Linked DNA regions of Macaca fascicularis. The protein of the gene in region 6 interacts with the protein of the main gene of each other region in a biochemical or structural test. Links are inferred from orthologs where the notes say so. Each region holds a gene or a part of one and is shown on either strand. Other genes may lie near its edges.

Region 1 (3,500 bases), on a different chromosome or scaffold from region 6:
TTCTTTATTCCTGTTGGATTGCAGTACACAACACTCTTGTTCACGTATTATGTGCTATTTAGCAACATTCCCGTTTATGGTTCCTGCACATGCCCTATTCATTTTCTTCAAGTTATTCTTTCTGCCTGAAATGCCCCTATTTCCATCAGTTATAGGTCCTACTCACTGTTCAAGACACGCTGAAACATTCTGCCTTCATGATCCTTTCCTTGCTGGGCCTCTAAGAACCACCATTTTTAATTGTAAATTAGTTACTCTCATCCCTGAATTCCCAGAGCAATGTGACTGCACTTCATGTACTTTCTTTGCTAAATGCTTTTGAACAATTCTTTCTCCTGCCCACCACCATCTGCATCTGATAGCTATGTTAATACTGATTACTTACTGTGTGGCAGCACTGGGCTGGGCTAACTGCTTACATGTCTTAACTCACTGAACCCACACAACAATGTATGGTTAGCCCTATTTTATATACAGAAAGTACTTCCAGTTTACTAAGTACTTCAAAATATTCTCTCCTTGAAAGCAAGAGACACATCTTTGACCTTTCACAGAATCTGGCACACTAACCTTACTTGTCTAATATTTCTAAATTCAACTGAAATAAACTTTAAAAAGAAAAAAAAAAGCTATTCATTTCACTTTTAGGTGTATAATCAAAGCTATTTTTATTTCCTTAAGAAAATTCAGAAGCTGAAGTATAGCCAGTATTAGCTCTCAAGGGAAAAGGAACAATCTTAATTGAAGTCAATAATAGTAAGCTATGCATTACTATAAAACAGTATCTTAATTTTAAACATTTGATTTAGGTCCTTACCAGTAAGTCCCACTTTCTTCCTGCACATGAAACAGCGATTCTTTTTTTGTTTTGGTTTTTCAAGAGACTTGCTTTGCTCTTCAGATGGCTGCTGTGCCGTGTCTGATACTGAAGCTGACAAAAATAGGAAGGTGGCAAAATTTAATTATTCTGTAAGATTTTGCTATTCCTCATCCCACCCTCCCTAGTCTATTATTTAGAGGATACTGAGGAATTAATTAGCACAGAAAACTAGTCATTTAATTACAAAGTTGTTTACAAAAATAGGACCCCTTTTTGTTAAATTTATGTATAGAAAATGCATAAATAATGTATTTCTATCTAGAAAATAATCTAGAACATGTAATGATATATTGACAGTGGTTTTATAGACTTTCTTCTTTAGGTTTTAACTGTATTTTCTTTTTTTTTTTTTTTTTTTTTTTTTTTTTTTGTTGAGACAGTCTCGCTTTGTCGCCCAGACTGGAGTGCAGTGGCCGGATCTCAGCTCACTGCAAGCTCCGCCTCCCGGGTTCACGCCATTCTCCTGCCTCAGCCTCCCGAGTAGCTGGGACTACAGACGCCCGCCACCTCGCCCGGCTAGGTTTTTGTATTTTTTAGTAGAGACGGGGTTTCACCGTGTCAGCCAGGATGGTCTCGATCTCCTGACCTTGTGATCCGCCCGTCTCGGCCTCCCAAAGTGCTGGGATTACAGGCTTGAGCCACCGCGCCCGGCTTTAACTGTATTTTCTAATTTTTCTAGTAACTACATATTTAATCAATAAAAGGCACATAAACAAATACTACTTGAATATTCTAAGGGAGTGTGCAAGAAAATAGCCATATGCATGGGTCAGAATGACATAGGTTTCTCAGAGAACAAGGAGGGAAAAGGTGAAACCAAGATTCTGTGGAATATTAAGTATGTTTAAAGTTCCCAGAATGTTTCACATAAAGCACTTTAAATGTTTGAAATAAGGCAAATTGAAGCAAAGAAGCTTTAAAATGTTGTAAGATAATAAGTTGATGCATTTATGTATGGAAACCAAAGCCAGATTTACCAAGATTCGGGTTAAATTACTACTCTGAAATCTTAACATGACTCCCTCCCGTTGCTAACCACTCTGGCCCTCATAAATGCTGCTGCGAGTCAGAATCACGTAATATGACCTTGCAGACATGTCATTTTGCTCTAAAATGGTGGAATTTGCCATGGATCAAATTCTTAACCTCTTCAGTTTCATCACCAGCCAGACTTTCCCCAGGAATCCACTCTCCATTAATCTACACTGGGAATATGCCATGTACCTTTGCTCACACTTCTTATAATCTATTCCAAAGGGTTTCCTTTTTTTCCCCCATTTGATCTAGGTCCTCTTCTTTTTCAAGATCAAGGTCAAATACCCTTTCCTTGTCTCAATTCTCTGTAGCTTCTCACTCTGATTTTCCTTAACACCTTTTCCAAACACCGGGTACCTCACGAGTTCCCTCTTCAATCCATGCTTCACACATTGCACGCAATCATCTGCCTTAAGTGAAAATCTAATGGTGTTCCCTCTGATGTTTAGAATTCTTCAATGGCTCCCAACTAACTCCCAGGATAAAGCCCAGAGGTCTTTCATGATTTTCTTCATCCTTCTTTCTCTGGCCTCATCTCTCACTATTTCTCAACGGTACCCCATGATTTAGCCATACGGAAGTACTTGCAGTTTCCCTGGACATATCAAACTCTCTTTTGCCTCTGGGCTCTTGGGTAAGTTATGCTTTCCATACAAAATACTCTTTCTATGCCCCTTCTGTCCCTCTTTTTACCAGGCTAACTCTTAACTTGTTTTTCTTGTTTAAGCTTATATAATCAGCTCTTCCTCCACTGCCTCTCCCACAACTTTGGGGTGGGAAACCCTACTACGTATAGCACTTTTCGTATTAAAATTCCCTCACTGGCTCAACCTGGTTTAACTTCGAATTCTTTGAGGGGAGACATCTGTCCTATTTATCCCATTATCAGTGCCTATCCCAGTGTTTCCAACCACATAGCAGGCACTCAACAATAAGGATCTGTTGAACTGAATTACTTACCTATATGTGCCTCATTTCCCCAACTACACTGTAAGGCCGTTGAGAAGAAGGATGGTTACCTTATTCCCCATCTGAATCTCCAGTCCCATCACAGTGAACTACACATAATACACGCTCAGACATTTACTGTGATTCTAACCTGCTTATGTTAACATCACTATCTCATATTTTAACAAAAGATGACAAAAGGCAAATACCACAAACAAGTGAATGTGCGCTAATGACAAACTCTATAGCATGTTACTCCACTCAGACATGCTGAAATCAGACAGGAGACAGTTCTAGTAATACCCTGTGAACATATTATTTTTGAAACAGAATACAGACACATCAAACCTTTTATTTTCAATGAATAAATATTCCTAGAATGTAAGCTCCAAGAGGGCAGGGGCTGAATGTCTTGTTTAATGTTTATCCCCAGCTCCTACAACAGTATCAGATAAGCCTATCTGGCTATACATACAGACTAAAAAACAGCTTAATTTGCAATCAGAAATGAAACTATTGTATTTATTGGTTTTGAAATATATAAGCCATAATATCTAACCTGTTCTCCAAAAACAGTCTGATATTCAAAAACATCCATTTAATGGCAGTAACACTATCACAAGATTATAGTTTTAAC
Region 2 (3,500 bases), on a different chromosome or scaffold from region 6:
GGCCCTCCCAGTGGGTCATGGTAGTTTGCATCACCTCTGGCTTGTCTTTTCCTCACGTCCTTTCTCTCCTGTGTTCTCCATGGCCTCCTGGCTCCAGGAATGTGGGGGTTTCACGACCGGGACCTGGTGTTACGGAAAGCTCTCTATACCATGATGAGGACGGGAGCCGAGAGGGAAGCCCTGAAGCGGAGGTGGAGGTGGCAGCAGACGCAGCAGAATAAGGAGGTTGGTATCCACTGGCATGGCCGGAGGCCGGGACCCAGGTCAGGTGTCGCCTCGGGCCATGGTCAAGTCCAGAGCGTGGTCCCTAGACCCCAGACTGTCTTATGAGGGGAGGCAGAAACAGTCCCTGGGATCAGGAAAGTCTCCTGCTTTTAAGCCCATGAAGGAGGAGCCTGTTGAAATAGCAGAGTCCCGGCAGATAGCAACTATGCGTCCACTTGTGTTTCCTTAAGGCATGATTATGAAAGCTGCCTACCTTCATTCCCAAAAGCATCCTGGCTTGGCTGATGAATTATATATATGGCCGCCTGCTGTCAGGTGCAGCCCATGGCTCTAGCCCCTGTGTGTGAGGTCAGTCCAAAGGGATTCCCAATTGTCCCCAAGCATGGTAAACATGAGGACCTTGCTCTTCTAGAAGAATCTGCCTGCTTTCTGACTACAGTTGATCCATTATCCCTTTAAACTTTGTAATGGCCAGCCACAGTTAGGTGCATGCACAGGTTAATGCTCAGTCATCCCCAGCCCCTGAGAATGACCCTTGTTGGTGGGCAGATTCCCAACAGCTCTGGAATTAGAGCTTGGAGCTTTTGAAAATATAGTGTGCATAGCAAAGGTGGCCAAGAGGGTGCAGTTAGTGTAGTTGGTAGCTACCTATAGATGTGCCTGGCCTGGGTCCCAGTGAGGCTGGTCTGGGTTGGGAGGGTGAGAGGAGGAGGGCAGCGCAGCTGTGGCCCGCCCCCCTCTGAGCCAGTTCCCCTCTGCCAGTCAGGGCTGGTGTACACGGAGGAGGAGTGGGAGCGGGAGTGGACGGAGCTGCTGAAGCTGGCCTCCAGTGAGCCGCGCACACACTTCAGCAAGAACGGCGGCACAGGCGGGGGGTAAGTTCTGCCCCTGCTCTTCCCAGAAGTCCCCTCCAGCTCCAGGCCACCCAGGGCTACACACAGCATGGGTGGATGGCACGGGGGGAATGTGGGACCCTCATGCTGTGGAAGACAGAAAGATTCCAGCTTTCCAGCATTAGCTTCAAGACAAGGATGCACAGAAGGACTGTGGGTGATGGCTGGCCCCTGCCGGGTGCTGGTGGAAGGGTACGCAGCCCCCAGATGCACTATGCAGGCAGAGGTGAGCTCACATGAGCTGCCTCCAGGCCACTTTCCTTGAACGTTGTTATGCAGAGCAGGTGAGGTGTGCGCCCTCAGGGCACAGCTGGCCTCTGGAGGTCACACGCGATGGTGAGCGTTCCCACACATTGCCAGCACGCGGACCTGGCTCTGAAGTTTGGATTTTCTCCCCAACTAATTAATTCGTGGCTTCAAGAAGTCACCCTGAAAGCAGAAGCTCATTAAGCTAGCCTGCTGTTTCCCAGATGAGCTCCGTGGATATTATATGTGTTCCCAGCAAAAAGGCTCCACGTCTGTGCGTGTTTAGGACTAGCTTGTTCCTACAGAAACACCTTGGATGTTCTAGCGTGGAATGAAGAGTGCGGCCAGACCAACGGGGCAGCCATAGAGCCTTGATCATGGCTTATTCTTCAGTTCGTATTCTCTGGAACCTGAAAGCAAAGGTGTTGCTCCTAGAAAAGGTCTCAGCCAAACATGAGAAAGTGTGAGCAGTAACACCAGGGAGACCCACGGAAGGAGCATGCAGCTCCAGGCTGCCCTCAGGCTCATGGGCCCTGCAGCAGGCACCTGGGTCCTCATCCACCCACCAAGGCAGGGCCTAGTGCCTCATGGGTCAGCTCTCCCTGGAGGCCCTGGCTGGAAAAGAGGCTCCCACAGAGCTGCAGCAGCAGCGGTGGCGTCTGAGACCATGTTTACAGATGAGATCGTTAGAAACCCACATACGCTGGCACAGCCTTCCTCCATGTTTTAAGGCTATGGTATCTCTGTACCAACAGCCTGTCTTGGTAGGACATTTGAGGACAAGCATTCTGAAGTCTCGGTCAACTGTAAAACTGCTCTTCCTCTGCACGCCTCCCAGGTCCTGCCTGTGATGAGTCTTAAGCATTCCTCCACATCGTTTTCACAGTTGCCTCTCTCCCTCCTGCCACAGGGCAGATGCCTGATACATGCTGGCAGACTGGATCCAGTCCAGGTGTCTCTGCCAGGGACGGGGAGGAGTGGGGAAAGACAGCAGCAATGATAACAGTAATCACAGGTGATCATCACATACACGTCTCCTGAGTACCCCCATCCAGGAGGAGCTTCCCCCAAGGTCCCATGGCTGGTGAACCCATCTGACTCCTAAGGCCACAGCCTGGTCCCCTGCTGCCTGCTCCCTGGGGCCCGAGGGATTCAGATGCTAATGGGGACATAGGGACCACTTGGTGTCTGTCCCTATCTCCCACAGAGTCTGAGTGATCAACTGTAATCTAACAAAAGGATTAGGTCCCTTTAGGAATATCCAAAATGGCCCGGACATTGTCCCATTTAGTAGGATAGCCTGGTCCCCTCCTCCTGGAAGCCACAGTTCTGGTTGCCACATCACAAAAGAGAAGGAAGAACTCGGGGAATGGCCAGAGAGGGGAAACTAAACAACCAAGGGTGGATGGGAGTGACCCCAACAGAAAAGAATGGAGAGGTGAGGTGGGAAGGTATGGGTGGTGTTGGGGAAACAGAAGGAAGGAGGTGAGCACGGGTTGTGTAGGGTGGAGTGGGGTCAGGGAGACCATAAGAGGGACCCGTGCTAGGTCCTCTATCTCCTCCTTTCAAACCCCATCTCACAGGCCTCCAGTACGCCTTCCACAGATTGGAAAACCGAGCCTCAATGGGATTAGACAACTGTTCCAAGACCACAAAAATGATAAATGGAGGAGCCAAAAAGTCAAAATGTGGTCTGATCATTGTAGAGCCTCTTTTGACCAGGCTCCACAGCCCTAACGAAATCCCTCAAATACAGCAGAGTCTGTAGAACCTCAGGCAACACATCAGCCTGCAAATGAAACCACCACTCTGGGCTTCAGATGGTGATGGGAGTGAGGACGCAGCCACCTGGTCCCCACAAAAGCATTGATGCTCAGGTCGGAATCTTGTGCCAATGATGCAGGAGGCACTTCTAGGGTTTCAGCAACAGGTGTTTCCAGTGGAGAAAGAAAAAGGAAAAACAAACAAACAAAAAAAACACCTCAGAAGAGGACAGAACACATGCAATAGGAATCTATCTAAGAGAGTTGCTTCTGTAGCCAGATGCCTCCTTGGGTTACCTGGAACCTTTGCATGGCCAGTCAAGGAGGGAGGCCTATGGAACCAGGCATAAAATGCACATTTTCCTGGGAATAG
Region 3 (3,500 bases), on a different chromosome or scaffold from region 6:
GCTGGGACTACAGGCGCCCGCCACCTCGCCCGGCTAGTTTTTTGTATTTTTTTTAGTAGAGACGGAGTTTCACTGTGTTCGCCAGGATGGTCTCGATCTCCTGACCTTGTGATCCGCCCGTCTCGGCCTCCCAAAGTGCTGGGATTACAGGCTTGAGCCACTGCGCCCAGCCAATTTTATAATTTTTAAAATTATTTTATCTGCTATAAATACTTATTTCACTACATATCATCAAGAAACAGACCTTAAGCTAAATAGGAATGAGTAGTCTTAATAGTAAATGCCTTTGTGCTCCCTGCAAGATTATTCTATCAGAAGAACAACTTCCATTTTAAAATAGCTAACACTTACTGGAAATCTACTGTGTGTGTCGGGCACTGTGCTAAGCTCTTAACGCGCATTAACTCACTGAACCCTCATCACATGCCTCTGGTAGGTATTACTGTCCCTCACTGTTGACAGGACTCGGAGTCGTTAGTCCACCCAGGGTCACAAAGCTGGTAAATGACAAAGTTAGGACTCAAACCAGGGGTGATTCCAAAGTCACCTTACTAACCATCTGTCTATTCCACCTCCTAATAAATAAATCATGAGCCCAATACATTCTTATTTAATCTCTGGCAGGAACTAATTTTTTTGCTCGTTTTTCATAGAGACAAAATTGCTACAACTGGCAGCCAACCAAGAAACAACTTCAAATTCATCATATAATCCATCTTTTTTCTTTTCTTTCCTTTTTTTAGACAGGATCTTGCTCTGTCACCCAGGCTGGAGTGCAATGGCACCATTTTGGCTCACTGCAACCTCCACCTCCTGGGTTCAAATGATTCTCCTGCCTTAGCCTCCTGGCCTCAGCTGGGACTACAGGCATATGCCACTGTGCCTGGATGATTTTTCTATTTTTTGTAGAGACGGGGTTTTCTATTTTTTGTAGAGACGGGGTTTTATGTTGCCCAGGCTGGTCTCAAAAACTCCTGAGCTCAGGAAATCCATCTGTCCTGGCCTCCCAAAGTGCTGAGATTATAGGCTTGAGCTGCCGCACCAGGCCTGGTATCCATGTCTTAAAGAGAAGCGTGTTTTTGGTTATAAGCAATATTTCCTTTTAATAAAACAAAAGGAAACAGCAAAAGTCACAAAACCTAGAAGACCGGCAAGGATCTTAAGGGGTAACACTGTCTTATTTTTCATTCCGTTGCCTCCAGGAGAGAAGACCTCATTACAATTACCCCAGGGCAGGAACCGGGGAGCAAGTGAGGGGGCTCCCAGAGAACAGGTCTTCTGACAGCATCAGTGGTGGTTCCCAGTCTCCCTCATTATTTCACGCTGACTGCATAACTCTGAGTAACAACATACATTTTCAGAGACCGAGGCCTCACAACAAAGATTCTTTCCTGCTTCATGTTGGGCCACTTCAACTGGCTAGGCTGCTCAATCGTAGAACAACTGTGACTTACGTGACAATCCTCTTGCTGGTTACATGGCATTTTAAGAAGCAGGGTGAATATGATCACCTACATACAAACCCATGCACTGGAAAATAGCTACTACAGCTCACTCTCATCCCCCCAGGAGCCCAACGTGGGCCTTTTCCTATATTTTCTCAATACACTTTCTCAAGACACAAGTTGTCTCTCAAATAAGCTCTCGAGCAGAAAATCTCTCTCAGATGACTTTCAAGCCTAGAAATCACCATTTCTGACAAGCTGTGAACAGTGAGGGTATTACACCACAGAACAAACCAGGATCCACAAATAAAGACACAAAAAAACAAAACATCCAAAGAGACAGTCATTTGGATGGGGATGACTTTCATAAACAAAACTACCTATTTCAATTCTCTTTATTCCTCCTATAAACAAATTTCTCTAAAACACAATGTCTTTCAACCAAAGAGAGTATTGGTTTCATATATTGTCTGACCCTCAAACCCACTTTCAGTCTCAAATCTGAGCTGATGTTCTCAAAAAGTTGACAGAAATTACAACCTGAGCCTGTGAGCATTGTGGATCTACTCTGTGTCTCACTCAGGCAGAGAAGAAAAAAAGAGTATCAGAACATTACCCTTCTTTGATCCGACCCTGGAAGACGCACTGAAGAATTTCTTCACTGTGGTAACCTTGCGGGTCTTCTCGTTGGTTTTCTTTTCTTCAAACTTGGAGAATGTGAGGGATTGGGCCCCTTGGCTGCTCTGACTGCTGGCAAAGGCCTCTTCTTCCTCCCGCTGGAGTCTGCAATTCAAGAAAGGATTAGAATGATCTAGATATTCTCTAAGGTTTCTCTTTATCTGAAGGTTATTACTCCACTAATTCAGGAGGATCTCAAGATTTTAGAACTAGAGACTAAATATACTAAATCAGCCTGAGGTCTCACATAGCTACAGGATGGACTGCTCTTCATGCACTACAGATTTCAAATGGGATCTTCTCATGCTCATTCAGCAATTGCTCTAGGGCTACATGAAAGAAATCAAGTCTACTCCTTTTCCCTAACAAGCTCAAGGCTGGAACAGAGAAAAAGGTAAGTAAACAACTGCTACATAATGGGACAGCTGCTACATTAGAGAGTAAAAATTGAGTGCTGTGAGAACACAGGAAAGAACAACTCAATCTGCTGGGGGAGTCTGTTGGGGCCTTACAACACTGATGTTTGGGCTGGGTCTTAAAGGATAAATAGGATCCTTTTTTTTGGGTTGTTTTTGAGACACAGTGTCACTCCATCGCCCAGGCTGGGGTGAGATGGTACGATCTCGGCTCATTACAACCTCTGCCTCCTGAGTTCAAGCGATTCTCACGCCTCAGCCTTCCAAGTTATTGAGACTACAGGCGCACACCACCACGCCTGACTAATAAGGCCGAATAGTATTCTAAGTGAAAGGATATTCCAAGAAGGAGGAACTACAAATGTGCAAACCTGTGGTTTGCTTCACAACAAGCTGAATGTAGCCAGAGCACTGGGTGTGTAATGAATGGTGATGCTGGATACACAGGAAGGCACCAGAGGGTAAGGAATCTTGATTGCTAAGCCCACATTCTGGATTTCATCATGTGGTGGGGAAGCAAGAAAAACTGTAAATCCGGCCGGGCGCGGTGGCTCAAGCCTGTAATCCCAGCACTTTGGGAGGCCGAGGCGGGCGGATCACGAGGTCAGGAGATCGAGACCACAGTGAAACCCCGTCTCTACTAAAAATACAAAAAATTAGCCGGGCGCGGTGGCGGGCGCCTGTAGTCCCAGCTACTCAGGAGGCTGAGGCAGGAGAATGGCGGGAACCCGGGAGGCGGAGCTTGCAGTGAGCCAAGATCGCGCCACTGCACTCCAGCCTGGGCAACAGCGTGAGACTCCGTCTCAAAAAAAAAAAAAAAAGAAAGAAAAACTGTAAATCCAAGAAGTTATCGTTGTCAGATCTGTGCTTTAGAAAGATCATGCAGGTAGCTGTGTGAACAACTTGAAGGGTAGAGAAACTAGAGACAGGGACAAGAAGTAAGAGTATATTACAAAGGTTT
Region 4 (3,500 bases), on a different chromosome or scaffold from region 6:
AACACTAGCTGGGCGCTTCTCAACACAGCCCTGTGAAGTAGGGAGTCTGCAGCTACTGCCTGACGTTGTAAACATTGGAGAGCTCCAAGGTAAGGTGGTTAAGCCATCCTCCCTCCAGGGACAAGAGGAGCTCTCTGGGCCCAGGTATGTGAGGAGAGGCTGGGGACACTCACAATGACCTCCATGATGGGCCAGCCACCACCCCTTTCTGATGCCCATTCAGGGTTCTGGGTGAGAGGCTGATCCTCTCAGGGGGAGCCACACACACAGAGGAAGCCGTGGCAGAGTTGATATATGGTTTCACTCCCTAGCCCCCAACTAGGACTGGCTGGTCTTGGTCCCAGAGGTTCTTCATAGGACTAGTGAGCACCCCACAGGCCCATATCACAGGCATCCTCTCTCCTTACTTCTGCTTTCCCTTCCCCCGTTAGGTTCGAACGATACAGGTCTGGCCGATCGGTTCAAAATGCCAGTAATGGAGTAAGTATTCCTTCAGAATCCTCTCATCTCCTGAGGCCAGACCTACCCCTCCACGTTTTGGAGGTTGGAGAGACCTCCAGTTTTTCTAACTGGGGTTGAAATATTTGGGAAATTGAAGAGCAAGCTTTGGTTGATGGGATACTAGGGCAGAGCTAGCAGGCACCCCTGATGGGAGGGTGGCAAGGAAGCTCTTAAGTCTGTAGCTCCCAGGACAGTCACTGTTGACTCAGCAACCCCTCCTTCTACTGGGGAGGGGGAAGAGGCAGTGGGCAGGGCTCACTGACATCAAGGGCCACCATGGACCCGGAAGGCAGATGGGGAAAGTGACCTTGCTTCTGTACTGGAGCAGTGCCGATGCTTTTCTTCTCAGAACCCTGCACAGTTGCCTTGCTAGCTTCTACCTCAGAGCCTGACTCCAGGGTTCTGGGGCTCATGACCAATCTCACATTCTGACAGGTACTGAACGAAGTGACTGAAGACAACTTAATAGACCTGGGGCCAGGGTCTCCAGCCGTGGTGAGCCCGATGGTGGGGAACACAGCGCCCCCATCTTCCCTCTCCTCCCAGCTTGCAGGCTTGGGTGAGTGTCTCATAGGGACAAAAGGGCCTACTTACTTCCTACCACTGGCCTCCCTTGCAGGCTACCTCTCTTTCTTTCTTGGAAGACCCAAAGAGAGTCTTTTGGGAATACATGTGAAAGTGTATTCCTGAGTCCTAGCCAGTTGTACCACCTTACCTTCAATGCATACCTTTTTTTCCCCTAAATTTGAAGTTTAAAATCTGTGTTGGAAAGCAGGGATGGGGGAAATTTCAAGGAATTAAAGAAAGGTCACGGCCGGGTGTGGCGGCTCATACCTGTAATCCCAGCACTATGGGAGGCCGAGGTGGGTGGATCACCTGAGGTCAGGAGTTTGAGACCAGCCTGACCAACGTGGCGAAACCAGTCTCTAGTAAAAATACAAAAATTAGCTGGGCATGGTGAGTGCCTGCAATTCCAACTACTTGGAAGGCTGAGGCAGGAGAATTGCTTGAGCCTGGGAGGTGGAGGTTGCAGTGAGCTGAGATCGCGCGTCATTGTACTCCAGCCTGGGCGACAGAGCAAGACACTGTCTCAAAAAAAAAAAAAAGAAAAGAAAGGTCACCTGCCATGTTTTATATGGAACATTCTCTATGATTGAAGTAATTTCCTTTTCAGTATTAACTAGGTCAAGCCCGGGCTTATAATCCCAGCATTTTGGGAGGCTGAGGTTGGTGGGTCACTTGAGGCCAGGAGTTCGAGACCAGCTTGGCCAAAGTAGTGAAACCCTGTCTCTACTGAAGATACAAAAAAATTAGCCAGACTTAGTGGTGGGTACCTGTAGTCCCAGCTACTTGGGCGGCTGAGGCAGGAGAATTGCTTGAACCCCGGAGGCTGAGGTTGCAGTGAGCTGAGATCGCGCCATTGCACTCCAGCCTGGGGGACGACTCCATCTCAAAAACAAAACAAAGCCGGGCGCGGTGGCTCAAGCCTGTAATCCCAGCACTTTGGGAGGGCGAGGCGGGCGGATCACAAGGTCAGGAGATCGAGACCACAGTGAAACCCCGTCTCTACTAAAAATACAAAAAATTAGCCGGGCGCGGTGGCGGGCGCCTATAGTCCTAGCTACTCAGGAGGCTGAGGCAGGAGAATGGCGTGAACCCAGGAGGCGGAGCTTGCAGTGAGCCGAGATCGCGCCACTGCACTCCAGCCTGGGCAACAGCGTGAGACTCCGTCTCAAAAAAAAAAAACAAAAAAACAAAAAAACAAAAAAAACCAAACAATCAATATTAACTAGGTCAAGGAGGGCAGATAGGTTTCAGCTCACTGGCTTCTTGGAACACAGGTTTGAGGAGGATGCTGAAGCCACATCAGGGCTTAGAAAAGTCTGTGATTGGCCGGGCGCGGTGGCTCAAGCCTGTAATCCCAGCACTTTGGGAGGCCGAGACGGGCGGATCACGAGGTCAGGAGATCGAGACCATCCTGGCTAACACGGTGAAACCCCGTCTCTACTAAAAAATACAAAAAAAAAAAAAAAACTAGCCGGGCGACGTGGCGGGCGCCTGTAGTCCCAGCTACTCGGGAGGCTGAGGCAGGAGAATAGCGTGAACCCGGGAGGCGGAGCTTGCAGTGAGCTGAGATCCGGCCACTGCACTCCAGCCCGAGCGACAGAGCGAGACTCCGTCTCAAAAAAAAAAAAAAGAAAAGTCTGTGATTGATTGTTGATATCTACAGAGGGCTTGGAAACAGGAGGTAGCAGCACTGAAATATTTGCTCTCCTTGAACTGTACCATCAGCCTAAAGCAGTCCATTGTCTGGAACTTAAAAGAAACTCACCACTTTCTACTTTCCACAGTTCATTTAGTTTGTACATTCAAAGTGTGTATATGACTCTAGCGCATTGGTTATACTGAATGATACCAATTTATAACAAATGAAATTATAACATTGAAAGAATAAGCACAGCCCTCAAAATTCTTTCCTCTGTCTTGTTTTCTGCTTTCCTTTTTAAAAAATATTTCTCGGCCGGGTGCGGTGGCTCAAGCCTGTAATCCCAGCACTTTGGGAGGCCGAGACGGGTGGATCATGAGGTCAGGAGATCGAGACCATCCTGGCTAACACCGTGAAACCCCGTCTCTACTAAAAAATACAAAAAACTAGCCGGGCGAGGTGGCGGGCGCCTGTAGTCCCGGCTACTCGGGAGGCTGAGGCAGGAGAATGGCGTAAAAACCCGGGAGGCAGAGCTTGCAGTGAGCTGAGATCCGGCCACTGCACTCCAGCCTGGGCGACACAGTGAGACTCCGTCTCAAAAAAAAAACAAACAAACAAACAAAAAAAAACACAAAAAACTAGCCGGGCGAGGTGGCGGGCGCCTGTAGTCCCAGCTACTCGGGAGGCTGAGGCAGAAGAATGGCCTGAACCCGGGAGGCAGAGCTTGCAGTGAGCCGAGATCTGGCCACTGCACTCCAGCCTGGGTGACAGAGCAAGACTCCGTCTCAAAAAA
Region 5 (3,500 bases), about 15 Mb from region 6:
TGCTTTCACATTCATGTGCCTTTTCTGTCTGATCTTTTCTAGGGCATGTTTTTTGGTTATTCTTATTAATTATTCAGCTCTCCATCCCTGTCTTTGTTCTTGTCTGGCTAGTTCTCCTTCATGTGTCCTTTACCACCCAGAAGTTACCCTTGTGATGTGTCTGCTTCACTTTCCTGAGCCTTTGAGCACAGGCATTCTGTGTGTATCTCTGTATAACCCTCCATAATCAGGCATGAGAAATGGCATTGCTCACCCAATGTTGTGCATACATAATTTCTATGAATTCTGTAATAATATGTTTTATAAAGGACATTGATGGAATATAGTGCTAATAAGAATACAAATTATTTAAAAATTCCGCATCTTTGGGGAAGATGGCTCAGAGCTTCCTATGTATGGTGGAAAGCTGGTCAGATAGGTGCAAATAGGTAGTCAATAATCAGTATACTGTACGTTTTATCAGATAGCACCTGGGAGGACACACATGAAAGATGATGCATTTTAACATACGAAGCTTCCTTGTTTTTTGCATCTTCCCTGCTTTGTGCTTAGTTATGTCTTTGTTTCCATTAATAGACAACTGGGCAGAGTTGATGGAAGTCAACCACGACGACAAAGTAGTCACCACCGAACACTTCGACCTTTCCCAAGAAATGGAGCGCCTCACTCTGGACTTGATGAAGCCAAAAAGCAGGGAAGTTGAGAGGCGGCTTACAAGCCCAGTCATTAACACCAGCCTCGATACTAAAAATATTGCTTTTGAAAGGTACAAATTTAGACTCTAAATTTTAAGGTCTAATCCCCATGCTGCCATCTTGAGTGACATGTATGTATGAATTGGAAATTATGGATGGATTGGGTTTTTTCTAATATGACATAATAAACACTAGTGGGTTTTAAGATTGATCTCTAACCAATAGAAATTGTAGCTGACACTCGACACCATCCATCATTTTTATAGCACATTAGTTAAGTCTTCTAAGACTTAACCAACATGAAGAATATGAATAAATGTCTTCTTTTTCTTTTATGTGCCCTTTCTAGTGGCTTTTACTTGAATCTTATTTTTGTCTTGATGTTTATGGATCCACAACACTCAGTCCCAGACCACGGAGCTTGGAGTTTCTGGAGGTTAGAATTGACCCAGTACTGAGTTCAGTTGTACTGATATTGGTCAGTCAAATTCACACTTACTATATAGTTAAATGTTCGTTTGGTTTTTTTTTTTTTAACCCACCTGTGAGGTTTAATGGTTTAGAGCAAGAATCTGGAGGGGATTTAGTTCTGTTCCAGACTCATAAAGAATTCTCCAGAGAGGTCTGTGCCTTGGTTAATCCAGATGAGAACACCATCACTGGTCATGTGCCTCTGGGCCACATGGAGGGCTTAGAGGGCCTTTGAGTAGAGGCTGTCAAAGCTGTTTGCCTGTTTCTACAGTGGAGAACACTGACCCGATGGAGTCCTACGAGCACTGATGGTATTTGCCTAGGATGTCACATCCAGCTTTCTGCAAGTCAAAGTAGCTTAGCCTGAGAAAATGGACACTATTATCCTGATAGTATTTGCCTAGGATGCCACATCCGGCTCTCTGCAGCCTAAGTAGCTTAGCCTGAGAAAATGGACACTATTATCCTGGACTTAGGCCTTCTTTTCTCTTGATGAATATAACAACTGTCCTCTCATTATATTTTTCTTTTCTTCTTTTTTCTAATATAAAATTGGTTAGTAAATTTGTTTAGTCAAGCATAAAGCTTGTTAAGTATCCTTTTCTTCTAATTTAGATTGAGCGGTGGAATTAGGACATCTGTCCAGGGCTGTTGCTAGGGCAGGAGGGTAGCATCCCTGGAGGCAGGGTCAGTCCTCTTCTGCCAGCCTCCTTGCACCAGCCTGGCCAGTTGACATTCGCTGTCTTTTGGGGACAGCAAAATTTAGGGACTGACTGGATTTCCCTTGGAGGATTGTGGAAAGACATTTCCAGGCTTCCGTGTACCCCTCTGCAGGCAGGGAGGGCCCCTTCAGCTTAGGGCTCTGTTTGTAACCCCAGAAGGCAGAGGAGGCTGCCTTTTCTGCCACTGTTCATCTGTAGGCATGAGAGGGGGAGGAGCTGAGTGCCATCCACAGGGCTCCTAAATAACTGTGTGACTTTGGGCAAGTGGCCTCATCTCTCCAGTTTTGTTTCCTTAGCTGAAAGAAATAATGGAGTGAATCTGGAGATGAAGTCTCCAAAGTCCGGGACTCTTAAAATGTCTTGAGAAGAGACATTGTTCCTCATATTGTTCAACAGCAGAGTTGCCAGAGTCATTGTTTGTTGAAGTGTGATTTATGAAGAGAGCGTGACAATTCCTGGCTGTTACCCCACTGAGTGTAAATGGGAAATGATAGCATATTCCATTTGTACTGAGGACTAAGGCACATTTTTGTATTTTTGCGCCCACAGGGTTTTCTTCTTTTTTTTTTTTTTTGAGAAGGAGTCTAGCTCTGTCGCCCAGGCTGCAGTGCAGTGGCGCGATCTTGGCTCACTGCAAGCTCCACCTCCTGGGTTCACGCCATTCTCCTGCCTCAGCCTCCGGAGTAGCTGGGACTACAGGCACCCGCCACCACACCTGGCTAATTTTTTTGTATTTTTAGTAGAGGCGGGGTTTCACCGTGTTAACCAGGATGGTCTTGATCTCCTGACCTCGTGATCCGCCATCTCGGCCTCCCAAAGTGCTGGGATTACAGGTGTGAGCCACCGTGCCCAGCCCCAGAGCCCACAGGGTTTTCAGAGTGCTCAAGCTAACTCTCTTGCAACTGACAGTGTGTTGTTGAGAGAATTTTTGGAAGATAGCTGCTTTGTTTTAATGGGGCTCAGAATTAAATGTGTGCTTGTCATGCATTGAGCAAGAATTGAGCCAATCCTTAGAATTGATACCACCTACAAAAAGAATATAGCTGCTTTTGAATGTGAGGTTTGTTGGTACAAAGAGTGTGTGAATTTACTTCTGATCAGAGGTGTGAGTATTCATTTGATTGAATTTGGAAGGTGTGGCCTTCTCTCATTTTCTTTTCTTTCTTTTTTTTCTTTTTTTTTTTTGAGATGGCTTCTCGCTCTGTCGCCCAGCCTGGAGTGCAATGGCATGATCTCGGCTCACTGCAACCTCCGCCTCCCGGGTTCAAGCAATTCTCATACCTCAGTCTCCTGAGGAGGTGGGATTACAGGCACCCTCCTTTGTGCCCAGCTAATTTTTGTATTTTCCTAGAGATGGGGTTTCGCCATGTTGGCCAGGCTGGTATTGAACTCCTGACCTCAGGTGACCCGACTACTTTGGCCTCCCAAAGTTCTGGGATTACAGGCATGAGCCACCACACCCAGCCCCCTCTCTCATTTTTTGATGGTCACTTTTGTCCACTTTTTTCTAACCTGTTACTCAGAGCTTATGTGGGCAAATTAATACCCTGCCCTGATGAATGTTTGGCCTGCAGTATATACACTGTGGTTGCAGTTTGAATTTTTCCCTTCT
Region 6 (3,993 bases):
ACACCTGCCTTTTTGTATTTGCAGTAGACATAGGGTTTCACCACATTGGCCAATCTGGTCTTGAAGCCGGCTTTTATTTGCACCCACCTTCTACAGTTCGTACTATATTAAGGTCAACCCCTTCACTGACATTTCACTGTTACCACAGCAACATTTGTAAACTGAAAACCTTGATCCCCTTCACCCAGTCTAATGCAAAATAACCTTAACTTTTAAAAAACCACACCAGTTGGGAATGCAACAACTTTATTGAAAGAAAAGTGCAATGAAATTTGTTGAAACCTTAAAAGGGGAAACTTAGACACCCCCCCTCAAGCGCAGGACCAAGTGCAGAGTGGACTCTTTCTGGATGTTGTAGTCAGACAGGGTGCGTCCATCTTCCAGCTGTTTCCCAGCAAAGATCAACCTCTGCTGGTCAGGAGGGATGCCTTCCTTGTCCTGGATCTTTGCCTTGACATTCTCAATGGTGTCGCTGGGCTCCACCTCAAGGGTGATGGTCTTGCCAGTGAGGGTCTTCACGAAGATCTGCATCCCACCTCTGAGGCGGAGCACCAGGTGCAGGGTGGACTCTTTCTGGATGTTGTAGTCAGACAGGGTGCGCCCATCTTCCAGCTGTTTCCCAGCAAAGATCAACCTCTGCTGGTCAGGAGGGATGCCTTCCTTGTCCTGGATCTTTGCCTTGACATTCTCAATGGTGTCGCTGGGCTCCACCTCAAGGGTGATGGTCTTGCCAGTGAGGGTCTTCACGAAGATCTGCATCCCACCTCTGAGGCGGAGCACCAGGTGCAGGGTGGACTCTTTCTGGATGTTGTAGTCAGACAGGGTGCGCCCATCTTCCAGCTGTTTCCCAGCAAAGATCAACCTCTGCTGGTCAGGAGGGATGCCTTCCTTATCCTGGATCTTTGCCTTGACATTCTCAATGGTGTCGCTGGGCTCCACCTCGAGGGTGATGGTCTTGCCAGTCAGGGTCTTCACGAATATCTGCATCCCACCTCTGAGACGGAGCACGAGGTGCAGGGTGGACTCTTTCTGGATGTTGTAGTCAGACAGGGTGCGCCCATCTTCCAGCTGCTTTCCAGCAAAGATCAACCTCTGCTGGTCAGGAGGGATGCCCTCCTTGTCCTGGATCTTTGCCTTGACATTTTCAATAGTGTCACTGGGCTCCACCTCAAGGGTGATGGTCTTGCCAGTCAGGGTCTTCACGAAGATCTGCATCCCACCTCTGAGACGGAGCACCAGGTGCAGGGTGGACTCTTTCTGGATGTTGTAGTCAGACAGGGTGCGCCCATCTTCCAGCTGTTTCCCAGCAAAGATCAACCTCTGCTGGTCAGGAGGGATGCCTTCCTTGTCCTGGATCTTTGCCTTGACATTCTCGATGGTGTCACTGGGCTCCACCTCGAGGGTGATGGTCTTGCCAGTGAGGGTCTTCACGAAGATCTGCATCCCACCTCTGAGGCGGAGCACCAGGTGCAGGGTAGACTCTTTCTGGATGTTGTAGTCAGACAGGGTGCGTCCATCTTCCAGCTGTTTCCCGGCAAAGATCAACCTCTGCTGGTCAGGAGGGATGCCTTCCTTGTCTTGGATCTTTGCTTTGACGTTCTCGATGGTGTCACTGGGCTCGACCTCGAGGGTGATGGTCTTGCCAGTCAGGGTCTTCACGAAGATCTGCATCCCACCTCTGAGGCGGAGCACGAGGTGCAGGGTGGACTCTTTCTGGATGTTGTAGTCAGACAGGGTGCGCCCATCTTCCAGCTGCTTTCCGGCAAAGATCAGCCTCTGCTGGTCGGGAGGAATGCCTTCCTTATCTTGGATCTTTGCCTTGACATTCTCAATGGTGTCACTGGGCTCAACCTCAAGGGTGATGGTCTTGCCAGTCAGGGTCTTCACGAAGATCTGCATTGTCTAACAAAAGAGCCAAAAACCACCAGCATTTAGCAGACAATGTACTAATCTTCCTAATACTTAAACTATATGTTATATTCACCCAAATGATTACAATTTAAAAGATACCTAAGAAACTTCACAAAATACACTCGCCAACCCCGAACGCATAGTTTAAAACTCAGACTTCAGCTACTTAAGAAAATAGGAACATAGAACTGACCAAAGAAACTGACGCCTCACTTATCCCTCCCCTCACCAGAGGTCAGGCCCCTGTCGACTCAGGAGGGCCTACCCTAGGCCCCAACCCTGCGTCCTGCGACGAAGAAAAGCCTACTGCACACCTACCGGCAGGTGGCCCCACCCCACATTATGAGCCAACAGAACGGATGACGTCACGACACTGCGAGGGCGCGCGCTCCTCAAGCTACGGGTGCACTGCCAAGTGGCACCGCCATTAACTGCCGCCCCCGCAACAGACGACAAAGCGAGTTCTCCGGTCAGTGACAGACTTCACATCAAGGTCCCCAAATGGTGCCCCAGCCCACCTCACCAGAATAAGAGCGTTCCCGCATTAGCGAAAACCTCAAGGCCTTGGGTTCTTGCCGCAAACCATGCCCCCCACCTTGTTTCAACAACCTCACAGCCCGCCTCACAACCGTCTTCCATTCAAGAGCCGGGAACAGCCGCCATTTTGCTGCGCTCCCCTCCCACCCGCTGCTCGGGGCACCTTGCTCGCGGACCCAGACTACAGCCCTCGGCGGCCTCTCATCCCGCGGCGTCGGCCCCCCTCCATCCCACCGAGCGGCCCAGCGGCCACGAAAGCCATGGCCGGCCCAGCAGCCCTCTGCTCACCAAGTGGCGATGACACCGACACACAAACAAGAACTGCGATCCCACTCCCGGCTGCGACGGAACTAGCTGCGCCACACCCGGCGCGTCCTTATATAGTCATCGGCGTTCACCGCCCCAAGGAAATTCCTCCGCAGAATCGCCGAGAAGGGACTACTTTTGCTCGCCCGTTCCGGTCTCTGGAAAGAAAACCAGTGCCCTACAGTCACCCAAGTCCCGTCCCAAAATGTCCTCCTGCTGAGACTGGGGTTCTGGGACTGAGTCTGGTGGGCAGCGGGCCGCCGTCCTGAGCGCCCAAGCGGAAGAATCAGGGCGCTCGCTGCGCCCTGCGGCCATGACGTGGAGGCGCTCGCCGAGAGGAGGGGGCGTCCGCGGGAGGCGCCAAAACCCGGTGCGGACTCTGCGGCGCCAGGAGCGGGTGGGCAGCCCGCGTTCCTCAGCCGCGGCCCCTCCCCTCAGCCCCCGCGGTCCCCTCGGGTCGCGAACCCCGCGTTCGGCGGACGTGGGGCGCGGACGGAGCGCCTCCCGCAGAGTCGGGGTCTCCCTCCCCTCCCTCGCGACCCGCCCTGGCCCACCCCGCGAGACGGACGGGTCTTTATTTTTGGGTCACATTTGAGATAATGACGGGGCTTTCTTTGCTCAGCCCCCCTCAGTCTTCCTGAGCTTCCCAGCCCGGTCGCGGGGGCTCCCCGGTGCCGCGCCCCTCCCCCGCTGCGGGCCGCGGGACAAGGACAATGACTCAGCAGATCTCAGGCCGGGCGCGGCCCTAAAGCTGGGGAACGCTCGAGAACTTTCGAGGGGAGACACTGCAGAGGAGCTGGTGTCCAGGTTAAATTTGGAAAAGTGAGGGGGAAACCCCACACAGTTTTTTTTTTTTAGCTGGAACCCAAGGCTGAGGGAACGACATCCTTCTAGACTGTTCTTTCACCTTCGTGTACATTCTGAGGGCCGGGTATGGAAAGGTCCTACTTGGTTTCAACAGGGAGGCCTAGAAATTTCTCTGGTTTCAATGGGTACGATTATTGTAATCAGGATCCATTCAATAATCGGACCCATTTAAACCGAAGGTTTTAAAAGACAGGAATAGAATCCCAGCCCTATTTCAGGGCAGGGTAGGGTGTCAAATATGAAATGTAATTCTACAGGGCAATTCTATTTTGATAAAAGAAGTGGGGAGAAAAGAATCACCAGCCAGGTTTTTAAATTTTTACCACAACCTATTTTGTGATCCTTATGTGTCATTTCTTCAGTATATTTTTA
Region 7 (4,261 bases), on a different chromosome or scaffold from region 6:
GCACAGTGGCTCATGTCTGTAATCCCAGCACTTTGGGAAGCAGAGGCAGGCAGATCGTTTGAGTCCAGCAGTTTGAGACCAGCCTAGCCAACATAGTGAAACCTCATCTCTACAAAAATACAAAAATTAGCTGTGTGTAGTGGCGCAGGTCTGTAATCCCAGCTACTCAGGAGGCTGAGGCAGGAGAATTGCTTGAACCTGGGAGGCAAGATTGCAGTGAGCCAAGCTCATGTCACTGCACTTCCGCCTGGGTGATAGAGCTAGACTCTGTCTCAAAAATAAAATAAAATAAAAAACTGGCTAGGTGTGGTGGCTGATGCTGGTGATCCTAGCACTTAGGGAGGCTGAGGCAGAAGGATCATGAGCCTAGGAGTTCCAAGACCAGCCTGGGCAACAAAGCCAGACTCCATCTCCTTAAAAAAATTAAGTTCAATTAAACATTCTAAAAGATAATAAACCAGTCTTTAGAACCATAAACCTGTAGTGTTTTCCACAATGTAACGCACTGCCCGGTAAAACACTCCAATTAAGACTGTCATTTAAAGGACCCTGAACTCTGTCAAGATCAGGCACTTTTTTGAAACCCTAAGACAATTATCCCCCAATTTTCTCCATTCTTTGTTTCTACCAAGAACCAAGTTCACCAGCAAAATAATACTAGTCTCTTAACAACAATCCTGCTGACATCTAGTATTCATTCATACGACATGTAATTATTGGGGTCTTTAAAATTTGAACAGAACCTTTGTCAATTCCCCAAGACCTTAGGCAAAAAATCAGGGAAACGAAGTAACTCTGTCTGCCAGAAGTGGATATTCTGAAACATCACTTTCCAGCTTCAAGAAACACACTTCCCTGCTTGTGAAGGAAATGAATCTTCCTCTCTTTTTCTCAAATTACACAATTGGAAATCAATTTAGATACTCTGGAGCTCCTCCAGCTAGTGGGCCAACTAAGAGAAAACAGGAAGTCAGAGATTCTAGCTTAGCTGGATCATATCCAGGTCTTCATAAGGAACTCTCTTCCGCTGACATGTAAAAAAATTCTTTCAGCAAGAGCGTTAATCTTGAACGTGTGTAAACACCAAAGCTATGGTTAACCCTATCTCACCCTTAGGTCTAAAGCCAGTATAGTCAGATAGCTGGGTCCTAGGCCTTCAGCTTTCATAACTGGCATTATTGTAAGTCCACGCCACTGACTCACCTTTGCTTGGCACGAGTTAACTTTTCCTCCACGTCGATTTTTTTTTCACCCTCAACAAAATCCCTTTAATGAAACAGACCTGGCAACCTGAGCTTTGATTTCTGTCTCCACCAGAGGTCTGTACAAGCCAAGTTATCCAAGCTTTAAAATGTGTGATTTGAGGCTGGGAGTGGTGGCTCATGCCTGTAATACCAGCACTTTGGAAGGCCGAGGCAGGAGGATCGCTTGAGCTCAGGAGTTCACGACCAGCCTGGGCTGGTCTTTCTCTGAGAAAGCAAGACTCTGTCTCAAAAAAAAAAAAAAAAAAAAAGTGTGCTCTAAAAGCTGGGTGTTTGACAAAAAGGAAAAACAGTGCCTTTCCAAAACCGAAGGTCCCTAACCAAGGAGATCTCTTTAAGGTCTCGAAAAAAGGAGGATGGAATGAAAAGGATGTGTAAGTAGTGTCATTTTTTAACTTGCAGAGTTCATCCTAGTCTTCCAGCTATCGTTTCATAGCACTCAATGTTCCCAAGACAGTGTCACCACCCCGACTTTCTCTCGTTTTCTTTGCCCAGGCCCTCATTCCACTGGGGAGTCGCGGCCTTCCATAGGTAGAAGCCGATGTTCTGAACCACGGACTCTCCAACTCTCCGGCGCTTTTCGCCCACTCGGTCCCTCTGAACACGAAGGGCTCTCTCATCCTGTCACTAAAAACATTAACTGTCCCGAGACACGGAAAAAGTCGCCCCTCTTCTTTGCAGGATTCCTCCCTTGAACTTCCCCAAACCCTCTCAGTGTGACGTGACCCCACCCCTAAGTAACCTCAGCCGCTTCCTTACCAGCTTCCCGCCCCCGGGGGGCGCCTGCCGTAGGCCAAGGCAAGGACCGTCCGCTGCCAGCTCTGCCGCTATCCCTGTGGGGTGAATCTAACATGGCGGATAAAGACAGTAACTAGTCCCCTGTTTCGCCGAGTTTTCGCCAAGATGATTGGCTCTTACCACTTGTCCCTCAAAACGACCACCCCATCGATTGGTGGAGATTGCGTCGACGGGGCGGGGCAGAAGAAACCTGAAGCCGCACAACAATAACAAACATTGGGGCCGAGGGGCGGAACTACGAGTGCGCAGACGTGAGCCAGAGCGGATTTCCCCTTCCCTAGGCAAATTCGGCGCCTATTGCGTCCCCCGCAGGTCACTGACCTTACAGGACGACTTGCCCAAGACTCGTGGGGCTGGATGGGAATTGTAGTCTTTCTAGGAGTTGTCGGTATCTCTTTGGCCTAGTCTCTGCTCTCAAGATACGAAAACATAACAACACTCCAATCCACAACTGTTGACATGTATAAGCGCGCGGAGGTCTCCAATCTATCCACTGGATTTCCGTGAGAATTGTGCCCGCTTCGGTATTGGATGTTCCTCTCCATAAGACTACAGTTTCCAAGGAACAGCGTGGCGAAGGCCTTTCATTCCGCAACGCATGCTAGAAATAGTAGTTCTTTCCCTCCACCCCCAACAATCCTTTTATTTACCTAAACTGGAGACCTCCATTAGGGCGGAAAGAGTGGGGGAATGGGACCTCTTCCTACGACTGCTTTGAACACTATCTTACACTCATATTCAGGCCTCGGGTAGCGATTCTGATCTTTGTACAGCGATTACTGTGACGTAATAAGTCGCAACTGGAAGCGTAAAGGCGAGAGGGCGGGCGCTTTATGGCAAACTCAGGTAGAATTCTTCCTCTTCCGTCTCTTTCTTTTTACGTCACCCGGGGCAGACTGGGTGGCCAATCCAGAGCCCCGAGAGACGATAGGCTCTTTCTGTCCCGCCCTTCCTCTGTGTCTTGATTTCCTATTCTGAGAGGCTGTTGCTCAGCGGTTTCCGTGGCAACGGTAAAGCGTGGGAATTACAGGTAAATTAAAACTGTGGAACCCCTTTCCTCGCTGCCGCCAAGGTGCTCGGTCCTTCCGAGGAAGTTAAGGCCGCGTTGGGGTGGGGCCCTCACCTCTTCCGGCAACTAGCACCCCGTCTGGCGGCCCCAGCCCCACACTCGCCCGCGCCATGGCCTACGTCTCCGAGCTCGCTTGCATCTACTCTGCCTTCATTCTGCCCGACGATGAGGTGACCGTCACGGAGAGTAAGATCAATGCCCTCATTTAAGCAGCCGGTGTAAATGTTGAACATTTTTGGCCTGGCTTGTTTGCAAAGCCCCTGGCCAACGTCAACACTGGGAGCCTCATCTGCAATGTAGGAAAAACAAAAACGTGACTGAGCGGCGTGAGCTCGCTGAGACTTTCTGGACGGGGGACAGGCCGTGGGGTTTCTCAGATAACTGGGCCCCTGGGCTCAGGAGGCCTGCACCCTCTGCTCTGGGTAAAGGTAGAAGAGCCCCGGAAAAGGGACAGGGGCCCAAGAGATGCTCCGGGGGACAGGCGGGGGAGAGTGAACTTCCGAAGCAGGCAGATGGGTATTCTTTAGGCGGGGTGGGGGGCGCGGAACCTGAGAGGCGTAAGGAGTTGTGAACCCCCTGGGGAAGGGGGCAATTTGTAGGTCGCGAGGGAAGCACTAAGGATCAGGTAGGGGGCACCGTGTGTCCGAGGGGGAATCCTCGGGATAGGAACTGAAATGTGCCTTGAGGGGGACACCATGTGTATAAGAACATCAGCTGGTTGCCGGGGACGGTGCCTCATGCCTGTAATCCCAGCACTTTGAGAGGCCAAGGCGGACGGATCACGAGGTCAGGAGTTCGAGACCAGCCTGACCAACATGGTGAAACCCCGTCTCTACTAAAAATACAAAAATTACCCGGGCGTGGTGGTGCGCGCCAGCTACTCAGGAGGCTGAGGCAGGAGAATCGCTTGAACCAGGGAAGCGGAGGTTGCGGTGAGCCTAGATCGCGCCATTGCACTCCAGCCTCGGCGACAGAACAACACTGTCTCAAAAACAAACAAACAAACACCGGCTAGTATTTATGAGAGGATGGGCCCTTGCGGAAGAAGAGGTGCTAGGAATATGTCTGGGACGGGGAGGAGACAGGATTTTGTGGGAGGGAGAACTTAAGAACTGGATCCATTTGCACTATT

The links.
Region 1: the proteins of UBC (region 6) and ZFAND6 form a complex in vitro, tested with the Homo sapiens proteins (6 studies listed by BioGRID, with this or other methods). The link is inferred for Macaca fascicularis from reciprocal best matches to the Homo sapiens genes UBC and ZFAND6.
Region 2: the proteins of UBC (region 6) and OTUD7A form a complex in vitro, tested with the Homo sapiens proteins (3 studies listed by BioGRID, with this or other methods). The link is inferred for Macaca fascicularis from reciprocal best matches to the Homo sapiens genes UBC and OTUD7A.
Region 3: the proteins of UBC (region 6) and RABGEF1 form a complex in vitro, tested with the Homo sapiens proteins (10 studies listed by BioGRID, with this or other methods). The link is inferred for Macaca fascicularis from reciprocal best matches to the Homo sapiens genes UBC and RABGEF1.
Region 4: the proteins of UBC (region 6) and TOM1L2 form a complex in vitro, tested with the Homo sapiens proteins (6 studies listed by BioGRID). The link is inferred for Macaca fascicularis from reciprocal best matches to the Homo sapiens genes UBC and TOM1L2.
Region 5: the proteins of UBC (region 6) and ANKRD13A form a complex in vitro, tested with the Homo sapiens proteins (4 studies listed by BioGRID). The link is inferred for Macaca fascicularis from reciprocal best matches to the Homo sapiens genes UBC and ANKRD13A.
Region 7: the proteins of UBC (region 6) and NBR1 form a complex in vitro, tested with the Homo sapiens proteins (8 studies listed by BioGRID and IntAct, with this or other methods). The link is inferred for Macaca fascicularis from reciprocal best matches to the Homo sapiens genes UBC and NBR1.

The regions. Positions count from the first base shown.
Region 1 is NC_088381.1:57,557,027-57,560,526, reverse strand, and holds part of ZFAND6 (AN1-type zinc finger protein 6), read right to left. Parts: intron 932-3,500; coding exon 818-931; intron 1-817. UniProt on the Homo sapiens protein: Involved in regulation of TNF-alpha induced NF-kappa-B activation and apoptosis. Involved in modulation of 'Lys-48'-linked polyubiquitination status of TRAF2 and decreases association of TRAF2 with RIPK1.
Region 2 is NC_088381.1:6,700,595-6,704,094, forward strand, and holds part of OTUD7A (OTU domain-containing protein 7A), read left to right. Parts: intron 1-97; coding exon 98-225; intron 226-987; coding exon 988-1,100; intron 1,101-3,500. UniProt on the Homo sapiens protein: Deubiquitinase, which cleaves 'Lys-11'-linked polyubiquitin chains. Might be required for PA28-20S proteasome assembly.
Region 3 is NC_088377.1:59,759,492-59,762,991, forward strand, and holds part of RABGEF1 (rab5 GDP/GTP exchange factor), read right to left. Parts: intron 2,229-3,500; coding exon 2,062-2,228; intron 1-2,061. UniProt on the Homo sapiens protein: Rab effector protein acting as linker between gamma-adaptin, RAB4A or RAB5A. Involved in endocytic membrane fusion and membrane trafficking of recycling endosomes. Stimulates nucleotide exchange on RAB5A. Can act as a ubiquitin ligase.
Region 4 is NC_088390.1:17,971,930-17,975,429, reverse strand, and holds part of TOM1L2 (TOM1-like protein 2), read left to right. Parts: intron 1-431; coding exon 432-480; intron 481-936; coding exon 937-1,060; intron 1,061-3,500. UniProt on the Homo sapiens protein: Acts as a MYO6/Myosin VI adapter protein that targets myosin VI to endocytic structures. May also play a role in recruiting clathrin to endosomes. May regulate growth factor-induced mitogenic signaling.
Region 5 is NC_088385.1:116,893,887-116,897,386, forward strand, and holds part of ANKRD13A (ankyrin repeat domain-containing protein 13A), read left to right. Parts: intron 1-576; coding exon 577-766; intron 767-3,500. UniProt on the Homo sapiens protein: Ubiquitin-binding protein that specifically recognizes and binds 'Lys-63'-linked ubiquitin. Does not bind 'Lys-48'-linked ubiquitin.
Region 6 is NC_088385.1:132,077,541-132,081,533, forward strand, and holds UBC (polyubiquitin-C), read right to left. Parts: upstream 2,801-3,993; 5' UTR 2,737-2,800; intron 1,903-2,736; 5' UTR 1,900-1,902; coding exon 298-1,899; 3' UTR 230-297; downstream 1-229.
Region 7 is NC_088390.1:64,214,555-64,218,815, reverse strand, and holds the start of NBR1 (next to BRCA1 gene 1 protein), read right to left. Parts: upstream 2,801-4,261; 5' UTR 2,382-2,800; intron 2,123-2,381; exon of another isoform or gene 2,022-2,122; intron 1-2,021. UniProt on the Homo sapiens protein: Ubiquitin-binding autophagy adapter that participates in different processes including host defense or intracellular homeostasis.